Linked DNA regions of Mus musculus. The protein of the gene in region 2 purifies or fractionates together with the protein of the main gene of each other region. This does not show direct contact. Links are inferred from orthologs where the notes say so. Each region holds a gene or a part of one and is shown on either strand. Other genes may lie near its edges.

Region 1 (3,474 bases), on a different chromosome or scaffold from region 2:
CAGGGGTAGGAAAAGCATTGGCTAGGGAGCCCTGGCCGCTGCTCACCACCCACCATAGATTCCATCTGGCACATCCAGCTGCCTCGGTGGGGACCCGTGCCCTGCGGTTCTGTCACCGTGTGTCTTGGGTTTTTAGTGTTGGGAGTATTTGGATTCTGGGTTTTACTTGCTCTTTTGTTGTTGTTGTTGTTTTGGTTTTTTGTTGTTGTTGTTTTTCGAGACAGCGTTTCTCTGTATAATTCTGGCTGTCCTGGAACTCACTCTGTAGATCAGACTGGCCTCGAACTCAGAAATCCACCTGCCTCTGCCTCCCAAGTGCTGGGATTAAATGCTCTTGAAGCTGACATCTTTGGTTACACATCTTAACCTCTAAAAAGAGGTTGTTACCATGTTTCTTTATTCGGGTTGTGTTGGGTGTCAGTTCAGACAAGCTCACAGGCTTCTGTCCTTGGTTTCAACGGCCTGCTCTAAGCCCTGCTTCGCTGCCCCGGTTGACCAGTTCTATTCCATAGGTTGTGGATGTGGCTTCAGAACTCCTGCGCATCTGCAGCCTGATCCTGCCGGACAACCGGATCCCTCCAGGTGAGGCCGACAGAGGGCAAGGGAGAGTGGGGACAGGCAGGGCTCAGAGAGCCTGAGGTACTATGGGCGGAGGAACCAGGTCCTTCATCAGGCCTCTCTCTATTCTACCCAGACACCAAGGCGGCCCTGCTGCTGCTCCTGACGTTCCTGGCCAAGCAGCACACCGACAGCTTCCACACAGCCCTGGGCTCTCTGCCAAATGATAAAGCTCAGGAACTTCAGGCCATGATGGGCCTCACTTAAGACTATAGGCCACAGGGGCCAGGGGTCCGAAGACCGAGGTCAGCCCTGGTCCAGTTCACCTTACCAAAGACTCTATCCATTGAAGTCAACTGTGCTGTTTTAACAGGGGTGTCTCTGGGGCTGGACATCATACTATAATAAAGCAGAGCTGTGACATCATACTATAATAAAGCAGAGCTGTGACATCATACTATAAGGAAGCAGCTGTGACGTCATACTATAAGAAAGCAGAGCTGTGACGTCATACTATAATAAAGGTGGCCTGTCTTCTGCTTGGACACTAGCTTTCTGCACAAAGGCTAGAGGTATGTGTTCAGAGCTGAGACTGGGAAGGGAGGGGCTGCGCTGAGGACATACTGTCCCTGCAGAAGTCAGAATGCGGTCCACCCCCACTGGACGGCTCAGACAGCCTTGAGCTCCAGAGGTTTAATTCCCTCATTCCCTTGCACATCTGGCTGGCACACACACATAATTTAAAATTAAAAATAAATCTTGAAAAAAAAAAAGAGGCAAAGTCCAGTGAGGCAGGATATGGTTTAATGAACTTGCTCAGGGGAATTTGGGTCCAGGACGAATCAGGAGGGGCCCATATGGCTTCTGTTGTTCCACAAGAAGGATCTTCTGTGTGGACAGCACTGGTCAGAAAAGAAGGCAGGTCACCACAGTATCTAGAGTGTGCTGTAGCAGCCTCTGGCCGGCCTGCCTGTCCCTGCTTTCTTGTACCCACTCACCCAAGAGCAGATAGAAGACCCGAGAAGCCAACTTTCGGGGGCTGAGAGGGGGCACCAGGCTGCTGAAGTCCAGCTCCTTGTTGGCCTGCAGTTTCAGTGCTACTGCCCTGCAGGAATGGAGGGGTGTCAGCTGGGATAACAGCCTGGTCCCACCCCTAGAGGGAAGCCTCTCGGATACCTGAGCACAGCCTCTGAAGAGAGTTCAGGCCTTGGGGGCATCTCCATGGGCACTTCAGGAAGTTCAGGCAGCATGGGCAGTGCAGGGGGCTCGGGCTGCCCCTCCTCAGACCAGGCCCTAGGAAACCAAAGGAATCAGGGAGGGGGGCAGGTAGTCATGACAGTGACAAAGGTGGGGGCCACTAGGCTGTGCGCTTGCGCCACCAGGATGCTTACCACCATTCTGGGGGGATGAGGCTAGTACGAGACTTTTCATCTTCTGCTGCTTCTAGGGAGAGCTCTGTTGAGGGAGAGAGCACTGAGGGAGCCTGCTTGACTCTGAGGAATTGGGGGGCCTTGTAGCCAGACTAGAGGTGTAGTTCAGTGGTGAAGCATTTGCCTGACATGACAAGGCCCAGTGTTCAGTCTCGGGGACTACAAAGCTTCCCTCATGATCTGGAGCCTAGTTTAGACGTGTACAAAAGCGGGAGTGCTGGAGAATCAAATCTATGCTTTCACGTTCTGCGTGCTCCCTCGCTGTCAGACATGGCCTCAGCAGCTAGGGCACTAGCTGCCTGAGACTGGTTAGGACTGTCTCCATTCTCCCCTCCTGTCCAAGTGCTTACCTGAAGACAGCATGAGGGGACCACTGGGCTCCTGGGCCTCCCTCAGAACCTGCAGGCGGGAGAGCAAGAGCTGAGGCCCAAGCACCGAGTGTCGGGATCTCAGTGTGGTGTGCATGAGGAGGCAGCCGGAGCTCGCCAGGGCTGGGGGGCGTCACCTCGATCTCGCTCAGAGCTTCAGTCTTTCTCCTCTCTTCCTCATCTGCTGCTCTCTCTTCCTCCACTGTCTCCTCAGTCTCCAGCTGTGGCCTTTGTCTGAGCATTCTTTGGGGGACCTGGGCACAGTGTGTCCATAAACCTAGGAGTTCTGGGGGTAGCCAGCCAGCTGACAAGAGAGGAAATGGGTTTCAATCATAAAACTGAAGCTCCCAGGCTCTGAAGCTCCCACCTGCTCCAGTCTTCACCATTCTTACAGAGAGTTGGGGTTCTGAAGAGCTCCGCTGGGCTTGTGAGCATCCTCTTGGGAGGCTGGGCCACTGGCTGCAAGATGGTGGAAGGCCATTGGCCCTTTTATGAGCAAGCCCCTTCTTCCTGCCCCTCCTTTGCCATCCTTAGTTCCCAGGGCCCCTGCCCCTGTGTTCAGGCTCAAGACCCGCCCTATAGTGCTTGAGGCTAAGCCAGCTGCTAGCCTGGTGTCTGTATAAGCAGTCCCTCACATCTAGGAAATAGGGCCTTTTTTTGTCAGGTTCCCATTATTCTTAGGAGTTCAGAAGTCCAGCCAGACCCGCATCCCTCTATTCCCTAGGGTGACCTGGGCTGTACTCACATACTCCCAGCAGTGAGCCCCAGTCTGCAGTTGTTCCTCAAACTTCTCCCGAGAGATCTGGGTCTCCTTGTCCCAGAATAATAACTGGCGCCGCCGGTGTCGGCGGGGAAGTGGCCTCTGAAGAGACGGGAGCCTCTTCTGGAGTTGGAGGGAGGCAAAAGTCAGGTTATTCTCCATTTCCCAGCAGACCACCTGTGGGCCCACACTGCCCCTTCTCAGTTGTCTGGGGAAGAAGCGGGGGTAAGGTCCTTACTCAAGCTTACACCGACTGGGAAGCGAGGCCACACCGTGACCTATGGAAAGGGGTATCTTTTACTGATAGAAGCAAAATCCTCACTGTACACTCGGAATGGTCCTGGGCTTAGGGACAAGG
Region 2 (5,155 bases):
TTGCTTCTTAGTCATGATGTTTGTGCAGGAATAGAAACCCTGACTAAGACAAAGAAATTGATCCTTTTGTTGTACTCTCTGCCAGAAATGCTACATAAGTAACTGTCATAGTATACTATTTTAGGGAACAATGATAAAAAAACTGTAGATTCACAAGGGTAGTTTTTCCTTGCTCTAATGTATCTTCAGTTTGTCTTTGTCAGATCTGAAGACTGGAGACAAGGACATACAGGGCAAACAATATTTGGGCAATCACAGAGGCAAAGATCAGCTCAAGAGGTATTTGCTTTCAAATCTTTTATTTTAGGCTCAAAATCATTAAACAAGTTGGGTTTTTTTTAGGTTTACTTATTTCATCTTCTGTGTATGTGTATCTTACCTGCATGTATGTATATGCATATCATGCATGTGTGTCTGGTGCCAGGAGGTCAGAAGCATTGATTGGATCCCCTCAAACAAGTTATGAATGGTTATGAACCACCATTGTGGGTGCTGGGAATCAAACTAGGTCCTCTGCAAGCGCTCTTAACTGCTGAGCTTCCTCCCCAGCCCATCACTATATATTTAAAAGACAACTTCACTGCCTAACTACTTCCCACTTTCTTCCCATTAATAACAACTTCCCATCTGTCTCACAGTGAACAGCACCAGGCAGGAAAAGTAGCATCAAGAAAGGAGCTTTATCTTAGTTAAAACATAGAAGAATTCTTACTTTCCTCTCAAAAGAAACTATGTTGCAAGCAAAGGGAAAGAACTACTGCTATCTGACTAAAACAAAAATACTTAACAGACCTCATAGACATGATTCTAGATAGCAATCACTATCTCCACAGATGACAACCACACAACTGAAATATTAAGGCATTTTTCAGCTTAGAAGTATAAGAAATATCATAAAACCTAGTTATTATTTCTTTTTCTCCATTTTTAGGATTTTCAGACTAGCAAACACCAGGAAGCTCCTATAATGAAATGCAGCAAAAGCCCAGTACAATGGAGATGCTTGTGCTGCGAGTTAGTCGGTTAGCACCCTCTGTAGCTCAAGCACAAGGAGAACAAACAGCAGGCTACTCTACTCTCACAAAGGGGGCAGCCCATGTACCAACAGCAGAAAGAGCCTAGCCTCCAACCGTCCTGCCACAGACTACATTCATCTTCAATTCCTCAACTCAAGAGTCCTCTCACTTTAGCCTCTTGAGTAGCTGGAACTAAGTAACCACTCCTGGATTTCCTTCGTTGTTTTCTTTCATATGTTATGTAAATAATGCCTTGTTCTCTAAAGGCCTTCTGTGAACACTGGCATTTTTTTCCCCTCGACTAAGTCTGCTCGCAGATCTCACCTATCCTGTACTGACAGTGCTAGATAAGGTCCCGATGAGGCCCCATCAGAATTCACTCCTGCTGGTACCAGAAACCCCAACCTCTATTCTCCAGGACCACCTAGCCCACTGTCTAGAGTACCTCATCTGGCTGGCCTAGCAAACTGCAACTAGGACACTGTAACAGTCAAACCACCAATGCCAGAACCTCTCAAGTCTAGCACTAACTTCATCCATCCTTCAAAATTCAGTGGCACGTGGTTTCCTCAGCAAAACGGAGACTTTAAACACCAAAAAAACCTTAACTAAGTACTGTTAATGGCAACAATCATGTGAGCTTTAATCTCAAATTTCCATATCCCTTCTCTTTACTCTTTCCAATGGCCTTCTGAGACAGGTAGTGTCTGTTCACGTCTCTCATAAAAACTCACACTCACAAAGAAATTGGCAAGGGAAAAAGACCACAATCTGCAAATAAGCCATCCTTCAAAGAAAGTAACAGTGATGGACTAAGAACAAAACAGGCGACACCCTCTCATGTAAAAGGTTCTGAAATGAAGACACATCATCAACATCCTACACACACACACACACACACACACACACACACACACACACACGCTAGGCAAACATTCCACTACTTAACTTACACCACTGGGCTCCAAAATGATTTATCCGTCTGAGTTACACAAAAATTTTATTTTTATAAAATAAGCAATTCATCGGTGCAGACACGAAACAGGTAATCCCATGGAGGAATATTAACATTCAAAGACAACTCCCGTCTCCCCTGGCCTGTCACGTCTATCGGTAGCAATTCTAAGTCTAACATGGTAAACCAAGAACACTTACTTACCGATGACATTATGTTTGGAGCTGAAGGGATCTACAATTGTTTGGTCTCGGTAACTTCGGAAGCCCTGGATGATCACCTATTAAAGAAGAGACAACCCTTGAGAACACAGAAAGCACTTCTAGGGCAACATTCTTTCCTTCTCCGTCTCTTGCTTCTCACGCAAGGCAAGACAGAAACGGTCCACTCGGCGGAGACCATTGCGATCGGGAGCAAGCAAGTTAAAGATTCGCTAAACCCCTTCCGACATGGCCTGCAACCCTTGCTGGTGCAGGGCTGCTCTGGGAGAAGCTCTCCAAACCCAGCGGCTTCGACCCCGAGCTCTGCACGACAGTAAAGGTCCAGACAGCAGGCAGGCGAGCGGGCGGGCGAGCGAGCTGGTCGCAGCTTGCCAGCCTGCGAGCCCAGTGAGAGGGCATCCTTCAGTCAAACCACTGGCCAGCCCCAATGAGTCCATTGAGAAAAAGAAATAAGATAATAAAAATTAAGTGAAAAGGGGATAGATAGGATCGCAACGCTCCGAGCCTGACCCGTCCAATAGAAAAACGTCGCCCAGCGCGTGTCCCGGGGGCTCGGCGCTCGCGCGCGGGAAGAGCATTTTGACAGAAGTAAACAACCGAGTGAGCAGGCGCGACGCGACCTGCTGCGAGGGTCCGCCCTGCTGGGGCAAAGCCTGAGGCAAGGCGGAGAGAGCCTGCAGCCCAGCCCGGGGCCTCGCGAAGGCGGTCCATGCACCGCCATGCCTGCCTGCAGAACGACGCGGCCTCCCAGCAGCTCGCAGCAGCCCGCGGCGCCCGAGGAAGCCGGGCCTCCGCCTGCAGCCCGCCGCGCCCGGTCCCGCTCGGCTCCGCTCGGCTCCACGCACCGCGCCCCGGGGGAAAGCGCCGACTGCAGCCCGGCGCTCGGCTCGTCAGGGCCCCGCTCCTCCCCGCCCCCCCAAGCCCAGGCCGGCCCTAACCCACCCGCGGCGCGCTCCGGGACACCCCGCCGCCTCTCACGGCCCTTACCTGCTTGATGTACATGGCTCCGCGCCCCTCGGCAGGGGGAAGGCGTCGCCTCAGCACCGCAGCAGCGCGGCCGCAGGCTCGGAAGACGAGCAAGACAGCCCCCTCCTCACAGCGCTCCGCTCGCTCCCGCTCGCTCCCCCTGTGGCCAAACAAAATGGCGGCGGCCGCGGAGGCGGGGCCCGCGCGTCGGGCGGAACCACGATGGAAGCGATGCGGATCGCAGGGGGAGTCTGGGCCGGTTCCACTCTGTCGCGTAGGAAAGGCCCCTCTCCCGCGGCCCTCTTAGACGGACCTGATCTGAGAAAAGGATTTTCTTATCCTCTTGTTTTGCTGAGAATCACTTGGGAGTCCGACTCGGAGGAGCCCCGCTCCAGAGGCCGGCAGGAACTACCTCCGGACGCACGGACTATGGTCGCGCCCGTGAGGGGCGGGGCCTGCTCGGCGCCAAAGCCTGGAGTGAGACGAGCGGAGCCAATCGCCGAGCGCGCCGGAGGTCACGTGGTCGCCGGGCCGCTTAAAAAGGACGTGGCCTGTCAGCCTAGCGCCCGACTTGAATGTAGGTCTCATTGTGACTGCCTGGGGTTCTGAGCTCAGAACCTCCGCGCTTCCATTATTCTCTTTATTAGCTCAGAGCGCCTCCTGCTGGTTCCGAGCCTCCTGACGGCTCTGAGAGAACTGGAGGACGCTAGGACATTTGAAGGGATTGATTTAGGGAGGTTGTCTTTAGTTTTCCAAGCCCCGATTTCACCTTGTAGCTAAGGATGACTTTAAACTCCTTATAGAAAGACCTGTACAATTGCCACAAATAAATTTCTTGAAATAGGTAAATTAAAAAAAAAAGAAAAAAGAAAAAAAAAAAAAAAAAGGAGCCGGGGTGGTGGTGCACGCCTTTAATCCCAGCACTCGGGAGGCAGAGGCAGGCGGATTTCTGAGTTCGAGGCCAGCCTGGTCTACAAAGTGAGTTCCAGGACAGCCAGGGCTACACAGAGAAACCCTGTCTCGAAAAGAAAGTAAGAGAGAGAAAGAAAAGAAATAGGTAGGTACTAGGGTCAGTCCCTAAATGTATAGGATTTTTTTTAGCCCTGGCTTTCCTAGAATTCGCTCTGTAGACCAGGCAGGCCTCAAACTCAGGATCTGCCTGCCTCTGCCTCCCCAGTGCTGGGATTAAAGGCTTATGCCATCACTGCCCGGCTAAATGTATACAATCAGTGTAGGGAGTAGAGTTCTGGGCAACTCTAAAATTGCCTACTGGGAAATAAACAAACAAACCTGGACGACCTAATAAGGTCCTGGTCACCATTCCTGCTTCCTGAGGCAGTTCTCACCCTCAACATGTCTACGAGGAAGGGCAAATCTTGTGCCCTACTGGGAATCCTTTATCTGAAACTCTGGCCAAATTCCACCCAAAGTTTGAGGGAAAAAAAAAAAAAAAAGAAAAAGTATTAAAAGAGAAAGAAAAGAAAGAAAGAAATTTAATTTAAAATTTCATTTTGGGAGTTAAGGACCTCTACCCCTGTCAGTTTGTGAGGGTTTGGGGTATATTATAAACAGAATTCTAAGCCTTCATTCAGTTCCTCAGGATGACGGCTGGGTTTGCAGTGCAGTTGGTAAAGCCCTAGTTTGTCATACAGGAGGTCTTAGACGCTTCCCCAGCACTGGGTAGCCTAGTGGCACACATCTGTGATCCCAGAACCCTGGGAAGGTGGATGCAAGATCAAAAGTTCAAATTCATCTACTGCTTAGTGGGTTTGAAGGAGACCCTATTTTTCAATAATAGTGAAGTCACCAGAACTTTTATGATGGTTTCCACTACAATGAGATTTTTACTTTCCTTCTTAGGCCTTTACACATTTTATGAACTTTATTCAGTTAGCTTGTATAATCATATAAATAGGGGAAAAAGGTTTTTTTTTTTAAATCTCTACAATATCAAATAAGTGATTTTAGACTATTGCCTTGTTTATATTTATTGTCTC
Region 3 (5,269 bases), on a different chromosome or scaffold from region 2:
GAACTGGAGGACAGAGGATGGGAAAAGCCCCACCAAGTAGCAAAGACCAGCTACAGTGCCTCGCTCGGTACCTACACATGAACATGCATGTCCACGCAGTAACCTCACACGTAAAACAAAGGCACATTGAGTGGAGCTTGACGGCACGTTCCCAACACTTCAAAGGCAAAGAGAAGTTGTGGCCAGCCTTGTCTACAGAGCAAGTTTTAGGCCAGAACCTATCTTGAAAACAACTAAAAGATTTATCTGCTTTAGACTAAGGTATAGCTCAGAGATAGAGCAGAGCCTGAGTTTAATATGTGCTCCCTGCACAAGTCCCTACCTCTAGCCCTGGAAAAAGAAATGGAAAGAAAATGGAAAAGGTGCCTTTTAATTAAAGAAACCAGGTCTTTCAAAAAGGCAACAAATGGAAACTTAAACACAGGAACACTTTAAACACACAACATTTACTGGGCACTGTGCTCAATCCTAAAATCAGGCCCTAGAAATCCATTTTATAAAGTTGCATAAGGCAGAAACATTGTCCTCGATGTTCCCTGCCTAGCCTTCCACCATGTCTGACTTTGAAGTGCACCTTTTAACACAATGGGTCTCAACCTTCCTATTGCTTCCTCATGTTGTGGTGACCTCAAACAAAATAATTGCATTGCTACTTCATAACTGTAATTTTGCTACTGTTATGAATTACAGTGTTAATACCTAATAGACAGGATATCAGATAGTTGGGGGGGGGTCTCGACTCACAGGTTGAGAACCACTGTTGTTGGCAGGGTGTGGTTATGCCACTAGTGTTTTGGGAAGTGGAGGCAGGAAAATGGTTAAGTTCAAGGGCAGGCAGCTGGGTTACTAGTCCTCTTTTTTTTTTTTTTTTTAAAGATTTATTTTACTTATATGAGCACACTGTAGCTGTCTTCAGACACACCAGAAAGGGCCATCAGATCCCATTACAGATGGTTGTGAGCCACCATGTGGTTGCTGGGAATTGAACTCAGGACCTCTGGAAGAGCAGTCAGTGCTCTTAACTGCTGAGCCATCTCTCCAGCCCACTAGTCCTCTCTTAAACAAGTCATCAAACCCATTCTTTGCCTCTCCCACTGTCCACACTGTACTTCAATAGTTTAAGATCTTTCACTAGACAACTGTTAGCCTCCTCACAGAACGTCACAGCCTACTCCCCACAAGCCAACTGTGACAACCAAAATGACTCTGAAATTGCCTACAACACCCCCTGGTGCATCAAAGTTGTCCAAAGTGACAATCACTGCTCGAAACTGATTCCATAACAAACACTGCCCTATGCAGTAGCAGAAAAGTTAAGTCCCAAAATGACAGCGCAAGATTGTTACACCAAGAAAACCGGTGCGCACACACAAACACAAACTCACAGACATATCAACAATCCCGTCCTTCAACTCTCTTGGGCATGTGTACTAAAATCATCATTTCTCCTTAAGCTCGAATTCTGAAAAATCTGTACACTGTATTAAGTTTAGCCCACTGTATAGATAGTTAAGCTCCCATTAGAAAATTACGAGAATCTAAGGGGGACAATATGGTTGTTTGTGCTCAAGTCAGTCTTTTCTTGGAGTAGATAATAATAGGAACTTTCGTGGGTAAAATCACTGTCTACACCTCAGGGTATCGAGCCCCTTAAACAACATCCACTAAATAAAATAACCACAAGGGAAACAACTAACCATGCATGCGTTCTTATGGACAGAAAATGATCACACTCTTTAAATTCCCCGTCCTTTCAGAACTTATCCAAAGATACCGCCAAGTTAGAACAGGACTTTTCCGGGGCGGTTAAGATATCTTCAAAAACTTAGTACTAAAAACTCCAAAGGCCAGGTTGAGAGTAGTCCAATGAAACCACACGAGTCACAAAAGCCATCCAGAGCGCAGATCGCCGACCCAGACCCTTACCTTCAGACGTTTGATCATTTCATCGGTGGTGATCTTGTCGGTGATCTCTTTTACTCCCGGAGGGTAAGCGATCTTCCCGTCCGCACTCACGACGCCACAGAGGGCAGTGGCAGGCTTCGGCTGCGTGAAGTCCATCCTGGGGAATAACTTTTCTCTCACAGTCCTCTACCGGCCTCTATCGGTCAGAAAATCAAAGTTCAGCGGGAAAAGGGGCGACTTTGTAACCTCTTTTTCATTTCAAAAATCTCTAATCTAGAAAGGGCCCTTTCTTCCCCCCGAGGCCGGGGACCCCGCCACTCGCTCCTTCCCTGGGTTTCGGACCCGGCTAGGCGTCCGCCACCCCCACCCGAGCCAGCCCCGGTGCCACGGGGTTCTCGGCTGCAGCAGCCCCGGCCGCGAGAGGCGCCGAGCAGCTCCCGGAGTTTCCTAGCCCTCTTTTCACAATGAAATGTATCCCCGAGCACCTAGGACGGAAGTTTGGTGGCCTCGGGGGGACATTGAGGACCCAACGGCCCCACTTGGCTCAGGAGAAGCGGCTGGGTCCCCGCCTGGCCGGTCACCTCCGGGAAAGGAGACTCGAGGCCTAGAGGGTTCAGCTTAGGCCGCAAAACTAGGTACCCAAGAGGACCCACGCGCGGCGCCGGCGCCCGGGAGCAGAACGCCATAGCCGTGCCGAGCCCCGGGCTCCCGGCGTCCCCGCCGCGCGGCCGCCCCTCCCCGGCCAGCCCGCCACCCCCGCCAGCCGCCCGAGCCCCTCGCCAGGAAGCGAAGGACCCGGCTCCGCACTTCACATTTTTGTTCCTTAACTTCAGCAACCGAGCCCGGCGGCATCTCAAGCCCCTCGGTCGCCCGGCGCTCCTCGGCACCGCCAAGGCCTGAGCCGCCGCTCCGGGCAACCCCGCCGGGCCTCCGCGCGCGCCCTCCCCTGCGGTCTCCCCTTCCGTCCCTCCCTCGCCGCCGAGGGCGCGAGCCCGGCCGCCGCTTTACCTCCTCCTCATGCGGGCGGACGGTGCAGCGAGCGCCGGGCCTCTGTCAGGTGGTTGCGCCGCCGCCGCCGCCCCTCGTCGGGCTGCACACAAAGCGGCTCCGTCCGTCCCGCCGCCGCCGCCGCCGCCGCCCGCCCGCCCCGGAGCGGCGCTGGGGCTGGCGGTGCCGAGGAGCAGCCGCCGCGGGGGGAGAAGCGGGCCGAGCGTGCGCCGGCCGGGGCGACACTGCCGCTCTCCGTCGGGCTGAGGAAGCGCAGCCTCGGCCGCGGCTCCTCCGAGAGCCCGCGCGCGGGTGCACGCCCGCGCGTCCCCCGCGCCCGCCCGGCCGCTCGCTCGCTCGCCGGCCGGCCGCCCGCACCTCGCGCCCACCCGCACCAGACGCCCTCTCGCCGCGGCGCGCTCCCGGCCCGCCCGTGCCCCGCGGAGCCTGAGCGTCGCCGCGCACAGCCGGAGCCCGTCACGCGAGCGGCGCGAGAGCCCGCGAGAGCACCGCGCGCCTCGCTCCCGCCCCTTCTTCCGCCGGCCGAGCCCCCGCCTCCCTCGAGCCCGACGCGGCCGCGCGCGTGGTGGACAGCGCCGCCACCCGTTTGGCGCCAAGACCTGCCCGCGCGGGCGCCTCCGGGGGGCCGGCAGCCGAGCCGGCGCGCGGAGGAGGAGCCCCGGTGGCGGGAAGCGGACCCCGGGAGGCGCGGCTTTGCGACACTCCCGGCCACCGCTGTCGCGGAGTCCGGGGCTCTTGAAGGCTTGGCTGGCGGGGATGTGACCGGACCGGTGGAGAAATGGTTAATTATCTGGAGAAACGGCTGCTTTCCCCTCCAAACAGAGCTCTGGAAGCCGAGGCAAAGTTTTACAACTCGGGCTGCTCATTCTCGCGTCTTCCGGAGAGTCGCCCTAGGTCGCAGCCTACGACCTTAGTTAGACTCCTACCATTAAGGTTTTCAAAGCTGCAAAATAGGAAGTTGGCATGCGATCTCAAGCTATGGTGCCGGGGCTTCTGGCCTCCCAGTCATTTTGGGTACAGGCTGAAAACACAGACTAGGGTTCCTGATAGTGAAGCCCAGAAGAAGAAAGAGGGAGGGTGTTTTTAGAGATTTACAAATTACCTATGTGAATCTGAGACCTCTTTTTTTTTTTTAAGTTGTGAATACACCAAAGCTCTACTTTTTCTCTCCTCCAAAGGAAAGGCTTGCCAAAGAAAACTTAGTGCAGCGGTGCTTGAGCAATTTAAGGTAAATATTGAAGCGAATGAACCTGAACAATACACACATAATTTCAGGAAACCACCTTTTAAAACAATAAGCAAGCCGGGCAGTGGTGGCACACGCCTTTAATCCCAGCACTTGGGAGGCAAAGGCAGGCGGATTTCTGAGTTCGAAGCCAGCCTGGTCTACAGAGTGAGTTCCCGGACAGCCAGGGACAGCCAGGGCTACACAGAGAACCGTCTCAAAAAAACAAAAACAATAAGCAGAAGGGGGTGATGGTGGTGCACGCCCTTAATCCTAGCATTTGGGAGATAGAGGCAAGCGGATCTCTTGAGTTCAAGGCACCCTGGTCAATCGAGCTAGCTCCAGGACGTCAGACAGCCAGGGCAACAAAGAACCCCTGTCTCAAAAAAAGTAAAAAATATTAATAATAATAATGAAAAGAGGAAGAAGCTAGGCCGTTATGGTTCACGCCTTTCAACGGGAGGCAGAGGCAGGCAAATCTTTGATTTCGAGGCTAGCCTGGTCTACAGAGTAAGTTCCAGGATGGCCAGGGAAACCCTATCTCAAAAAAACAGAAAGAAGAAGCTGGCAGCAATTGAATTTATACATTGTTCTTTAAAATGCCCACCTTTTAACTGGCCTATGGTTGCAGCTAAATCAAAAGATTTAGGCAAGAGGATTTTTTTGAACTCAAGATTTCCAGTAATATGAATATGCTAGTAATACGTGGCAGGGAGGAGCCAGGTCTCCTCTGATATGCCAGTGGTCCCAGAACTTGGAAGGCTGAGGTAAAAAGATTTGGGAGACCTAAAGAATAAAAACAGGAGGGGAAAAAATGTATTGGTTTTTTTTGTTTGTTTGTTTGATTGGTTTTGGCAGAGTCCCACCATATCCTGAGGCCAGCCTGGAACTTACTATATAGCCCAGGCTGGCTCCTCAGTCTTCCTGTCTCCATCTCTGAAGTACAGGGATTGCAGATAGGCACCCTTATGTGCCATTATGCCCAGCAACTATCCATTATTGAAAGGTATTCTCATATAGGAAGGTAAAAATATAATATGCAGTGTATTACTTTGTTATTATTTCTCTAAACCACTGTTTCACCTTTGTGGAGACAAACCATCACCAAGGCAATTCTTATGAAAGAAAACA
Region 4 (5,319 bases), about 48 Mb from region 2:
AGCTCCTCCCCAGGGAGGCTCTCCATACCTGAGATCCAGCCCAGCCCAGCGCAGCCCAGCCCCTCTGCAACCCTACCATCCCAACGCTGTCTTTTACCTAGGACCACACTCTAGCTGTCTGCAGTTGGTCTGTTACGTCATTCACCCATCCAGACAGGTGAGCTGAGGGTCAGGACACCGCCTGATCACTGTCAAAGCCCACACGTCCAGCAGAGCCCTGCACACTGCAGGCTCAGAGTGGACGTGAAACATGGCAACTACTTTTCAAGAGCTGAAGACCTAGTAAACTCGTCAAAGGACAAACTCAGGGAGGGGCACTGTGCTCTAATACAAGGAAGTCATCAGAGATTTCCTGGCCATAAGCTCTGGAGAATTTTGTTCTGCAGCCCTGGCTGGCCTGCAACTCAGAGATCCTTCTGCCTCTGCCCCCCAAGTGCAGGAATAAAGGTGTGCACCACCACTGCCACCACCCAGCTGATTCTGTCTTCTGACCCCGAGTGTTCCTCACTGTGTTCTTTTTTTTGTTGTTGTTGTTTTGTTGTTGTTGTTTTTTCGAGACAGGGTTTCTCTGTATAGCCCTGGCTGTCCCGGAGCTCACTTTGTAGACCAGGCTGGCCTTGAACTCAGAAATCCGCCTGCCTCTGCCTCCCGAGTGCTGGGATTTTAGGCGTGCGCCACCACACCGGGGCCACCACCATCTTAGTTGGGCCTTCACCATCTTAACTCTCCTCATTGGTCCTAGGACTCCAATGACGTCATTCACAGAGAAACCTTTCTACAATACTTCGGCTTTATTATGTCAGTACTTTGGTTAAAAGCTGGTTGGGAAGCTAGGTGGGGTAGTGCATGCCTTTAACCCTAGCACTAGGGTGGGGGTTGAATCTCGGTGAGTTTGAGGCCTGCCTGGTCTTCAAAGCAAGTTCTAGGACTTGAAAACCCACCTCCACCATCACAAGATGGCTGGGATTATCTCAACAGCAGGGTACCTGCTTAGTACTGCCCTGGGATAGATCTCCAGCACCACACACATCAGAATAACAAATCAAACTGGCAATTTGCCTCACGTCTGCAATTCCCAGGACACTGAGAAATACCAGGCAGGAAGAGTACCAAAGCCAGCCAGCAACACAACCCTGGTCAGAGAGCAAAGCACCACTGGGTACACTTGGGAGATTGAAAAATCAGGAATTCAAAACCAGCTTTACGCACATACTAAATTCAGGGCCAGGCTTGGCCACAGGTAACCCTGGCTGTCTTGGAACTCACTCTGTAGACCAAGCTAGCCTATAAGTCAAAAGAGATCCACTTGCCTCTGCCTTCTGAGTGCTGGAATTAAAGGTGTGCACCAGCACCCAGCACCTTTTACACTGCGTATGCATGTGTCCGGAAGAGGGCGTTGGATACTCTCAAACTGAAGCTGTAGGTGTGTAGGGTCCATCTGATGGAATCTGAAAACTGCTTTTACCCAGAACCATCTTTCCAGCCCCTACACATAACTCATTCTATAACCATAAAACAAACAAACAAACAAACAAAACATAAATAAACACTCAGCAAAACAACCTTATCACTCTGTGGACCAGGCTGGCCTAAAACTCCGAGATCCGCCTGCCTCTGCCTCCCAAATCTTGCGACTAAAGGCGTGCGCCATCACAACATCACAACAAAACAGTGGCAAAACAGTCTACAGAAGCCCAGTGGTTAAACCATAACTTTTTAAGAAAAATAGTGAGAATGTTCAGAGCATAAAGAACTAGAAATGAGGGGTTGGGGTTGGGGATTTAGCTCAGTGGTTTTCAGCTCTGGGGAACAAAACAAAACAAAACAAAAAAACCCAAAAAAAAAAAGAAATGAATGACACCCATAGGCAGGAAACAAGACTGGTAACTACAGTCAGTCCTGGTAGCATGCCCATCTCTAAGATTTGAATCTATCTGCAGAGACTGGTGCAGGTGGATCTCTATGAATTTGAGGCCAGTCTGGTCTACCGTAACTTCCAGTTCAGGAAACAGTGTTATACACTGAGACCTAAACTGACAAGCCATGAAGCAGTTGCCTGGGTAGAAGTGTATGCCTACCCTCTAAGGGTAAATCCTACACAAATAAACAGAAATAAACAGAACTGAACTCACCCTAGGACTTCTTCGAACCGTGTGGACATCTGGGACCTGTAGGGATGACATCAACTGATCAATCAATAGCTAAGCCCAGTTTTGACATCTCACTCCCAAAGCCTTCTCTCAGCCCCTCACCTCTACTGCATGAGCTACGATCTTCTTCAAGACGATGGCCTTTCTGACTGGGACCGCTGGAGTTGTCTGGGGGGGGTAAAAGAAAGTATTATCCATGAGCTTTACAATAGTTCAAAGCCCTCTAGGTCAGTGTAAAAGTACTTTGGGAGCCGGGCAGTGGTGGTGCACGCCTTTAATCCCAGCACTTGGGAGGCAGAGGAAGGTGGATCTTTGAGTTCGAAGCCGGCCAGGTCTACTAAGTAAGTGAGTTCCAGGACAGCCAGGGCTATACAGAGAAACGTTGTCTCGAGGAAAAAAAAAAAAAGTACTTTGGGGGTGTTGCTGAGAAAAGTTTTCCTTATCTTCTATCCAAGACTTCTCAGCCTCTAAGCCTGGTTCTAAGTTTGTAAGTTCTTGCACCATGTTGGGCACCAACTGTGGAAGCATTGGGCGGGAGTTTTTTGACTCCCTTGCTCCCAAATAACTGCAGGGCATTTCTTCCCCCCAACGCCACTACCTCCTGAGTAAAGGACACAGAGCTGTTATTCAAAGGCTGCTGGCACTATGTTGGGCAGGTTCTGAGCTACTCTAACCCTCTCAGGCTGCCTATCTACCAGTCACACGGTCCTCTACCTGAATCTCAGTCTTACTCTGACTCAATCTGGTCCATGTGTGCCCTCATGACTGCTCTCTCCCTCCTCTTGACCTTAGAGTGAAACCACCTGCTCTCTCCGCGCCTCCCCCTCTCCCACTTCTCTCTCCCTAGACTCTTCCGGACGCCTCAATGGGCGCTGATGTCCCGCCTCCTCTGTCCTCTCCTGCCCAGCCATAGGCTGATCAGCTCTTTATCAACCAATCAGAGATGATTTAAAAAAAAAAAAACAACAGTGAGCCCGGAGGTGCTAGTTAGCCGGACTAAGGATACCTAGGCATAGAAATTAGCATCTGAATACGCAGCGCACAAACCCAACCCCAACACCTGGGGGACCAGGAACTCACCCTCGGCCAGATTTCAGAGAACGAGTTCGGGAGATCTGAGCCAGATTTCCGCTTGGACGACTTCGAAGGCTTAGTAAGTGAAGTCCTGGGCCCTGGAAAGGAAAACACGTTTGATGGTGAGCAAAACTTTGCTCGAAGAAAAGGCGACAAACAAACGAAACAAGATGCTTGACGAGTTCGGAAAAGCAAAAGTCGTTTTCCAACTACCCCTTTGGGGCGTCTTCCACCGGGAGCCAAGTTTTGTTCCCCAAACAACCCCGCTCCACTGCTCCCGTGCTCACCAGACCGCTGGGCAGCCCCTCCTGATCGTGTTCGCCGCTCCGCCATGTGTACGGTCGGGCTCAGTCTCCGCCGCGGTCGCCTACTCAGGCTCGCGCCAACCGGGAACTTTGCTGCTTCAAACGTTCAAATTGCCCGCCTTGCTAGCGAGAAAGCGGAAGTGACACAGGCCGGAGGCGGACCATCCGCTTTTGTTGTCACAGGCTTTACGTCTAGCTAGCAAAAGGCAGAGGCGTATCCTGCGGCGCTGTGGCGTCATCAGCGTGCGCCGCACCCGGAAGAGACGTGGCAGCGGAGGGATAATCAGGCCGGACCTGAAGGGAGCGGAGCTGCAGCTACCGGAGTTGGTGAGCTCAGTCCCCGGCCTTCCGCGCTTTTCATTACCGTACGCACCGGTCACGATCGGCATCGCGGAGGTTCGCGGACATCCAGAATGTGGTCGGCCAGCTGGGGGCGGGTCAAGAGGGGGTGGGTCTTGGGGGCGGGGCTGGTGGTATTGGAGCTGTGCAGAGATCTGGCGAGGGCCTTCCTGGGTCTTGATGGAATGAAGGGTCGGTCGTTTGTGGTACGATCTGTACAGGAGACGTGGCTTTACCCATGCTAAGGCATTATGCTAGAATTTGGTGTTGGGACTGGTGTGAGACGGGACTGAGAGATTTAAAAGAAGAGAACTGGGTTGGTGAAAACAAACTGGCAGCCACCAAAACCTGGCTTCCTGCTAACTGATTTCACCCCACCACACCCTCCAGGATCGGTCATGGGACTTTGCAAGTGCCCCAAGAGGAAGGTGACGAACCTGTTCTGCTTCGAACACCGAGTTAACGTCTGCGAGCACTGCCTAGTAGCCAATCACGCCAAGGTGGGGCGTTTAGAGCAGTGTCTGAGCAGGGCGGGTGGGTGGGCAGACAAGATTGCCTACTTCTAAATCCATGTGGGGACCTATGCTAGACTGTAAGCTCCACAAGGGCAAGAACATGGGGTGTGATGCGCTCTGCTATGCCTTCAGTAGCTGCTCAATAAATGGTCACTCAATAAATGGAACAGATGAAATGATGAGTCTGATGAGAGAAAACGAGGCATTTGAGCCTTGGAGTGGTGTGTGCATCGTGGAGCCTGGGGCACCAGTTGTGACATCTCTCTCCCACTCCAGTGCATCGTGCAGTCCTACTTGCAGTGGCTACAAGATAGTGACTACAACCCCAATTGCCGCCTGTGCAACACACCCCTGGCCAGTCGGGAGACCACCCGTCTTGTTTGCTATGGTGAGGCCTGGGAAGGGGTCAGGGCAGCCCCAGGATCCAGCTTGGATACAGGTTTGATAGCATCTTTCAAGAAGCAAGACAGTGAGTCCCTCAAGCGTGGAGGTCAGAGCCTCAGATCCTGATTCCTTTAGGTACCGTCCTGTTTTATAAAGCCTCAGCAAGCCTTTTCTCTTCGTAGGCCTTAGAATCTTCCCTGAAAGTTAGAGCTTCTCCTTCCTGCTCTGCCAGTCTGGGAGAGCTAGAGATGACTATGAGCTGTGGCTGGGAGAAAGATCCACTTTAGGGGATGTTACTGACCCCGATACTGTACCCAGAGGAAGCTATCCATGTTACAGTTTGCTGGGAGTCGGTAGTCAGAGCCTAGTATAAAAAAAAGCCTCAGCTTAGCTTGTTCAAGGTGCTGGTCCAAAAGGGGGCAGCTCCACCTGAATTTCTCCATGTGAAATTATGTGTCCACTCATACAGATGTATGTGTTGGTTAGTACTTGTGGGTGAGTAGATGGGTGATGAGTGTTTGTGAGCACATATCCCATGGGATGCATGATGAC

Evidence for each region.
Region 1: the proteins of Smc3 (region 2) and Rec8 purify together in Homo sapiens (affinity purification with mass spectrometry; 3 studies listed by BioGRID and IntAct, with this or other methods). This does not show direct contact. The link is inferred for Mus musculus from reciprocal best matches to the Homo sapiens genes SMC3 and REC8.
Region 3: the proteins of Smc3 (region 2) and Pds5a purify together in Homo sapiens (affinity purification with western blotting; 8 studies listed by BioGRID and IntAct, with this or other methods). This does not show direct contact. The link is inferred for Mus musculus from reciprocal best matches to the Homo sapiens genes SMC3 and PDS5A.
Region 4: the proteins of Smc3 (region 2) and Cdca5 purify together in Homo sapiens (affinity purification with mass spectrometry; 7 studies listed by BioGRID and IntAct, counting the BioPlex papers as one, with this or other methods). This does not show direct contact. The link is inferred for Mus musculus from reciprocal best matches to the Homo sapiens genes SMC3 and CDCA5.

What each region holds. Positions count from the first base shown.
Region 1 is NC_000080.6:55,623,262-55,626,735, reverse strand, and holds the end of Rec8 (meiotic recombination protein REC8 homolog), read right to left. Parts: exon of another isoform or gene 3,355-3,474; intron 3,240-3,354; coding exon 3,102-3,239; intron 2,816-3,101; coding exon 2,749-2,815; intron 2,661-2,748; coding exon 2,494-2,660; intron 2,388-2,493; coding exon 2,339-2,387; intron 2,014-2,338; coding exon 1,950-2,013; intron 1,852-1,949; coding exon 1,735-1,851; intron 1,664-1,734; coding exon 1,557-1,663; intron 1,461-1,556; coding exon 1,375-1,460; 3' UTR 1,341-1,374; downstream 1-1,340. Other genes in the region: Ipo4 (importin-4), read left to right, coding at 513-582, 695-825. UniProt on the Homo sapiens protein: Required during meiosis for separation of sister chromatids and homologous chromosomes.
Region 2 is NC_000085.6:53,598,579-53,603,733, reverse strand, and holds the start of Smc3 (structural maintenance of chromosomes protein 3), read right to left. Parts: upstream 3,339-5,155; 5' UTR 3,195-3,338; coding exon 3,180-3,194; intron 2,252-3,179; coding exon 2,176-2,251; intron 1-2,175. UniProt on the Homo sapiens protein: Central component of cohesin, a complex required for chromosome cohesion during the cell cycle. The cohesin complex may form a large proteinaceous ring within which sister chromatids can be trapped.
Region 3 is NC_000071.6:65,694,837-65,700,105, forward strand, and holds the start of Pds5a (sister chromatid cohesion protein PDS5 homolog A), read right to left. Parts: upstream 3,401-5,269; 5' UTR 2,914-3,400; intron 2,102-2,913; 5' UTR 2,062-2,101; coding exon 1,927-2,061; intron 1-1,926. UniProt on the Homo sapiens protein: Probable regulator of sister chromatid cohesion in mitosis which may stabilize cohesin complex association with chromatin. May couple sister chromatid cohesion during mitosis to DNA replication.
Region 4 is NC_000085.6:6,083,401-6,088,719, reverse strand, and holds the start of Cdca5 (sororin), read right to left. Parts: upstream 3,624-5,319; 5' UTR 3,558-3,623; coding exon 3,512-3,557; intron 3,323-3,511; coding exon 3,231-3,322; intron 2,319-3,230; coding exon 2,253-2,318; intron 2,169-2,252; coding exon 2,133-2,168; intron 1-2,132. Other genes in the region: Zfpl1 (zinc finger protein-like 1), read left to right, coding at 4,267-4,368, 4,660-4,771. UniProt on the Homo sapiens protein: Regulator of sister chromatid cohesion in mitosis stabilizing cohesin complex association with chromatin. May antagonize the action of WAPL which stimulates cohesin dissociation from chromatin.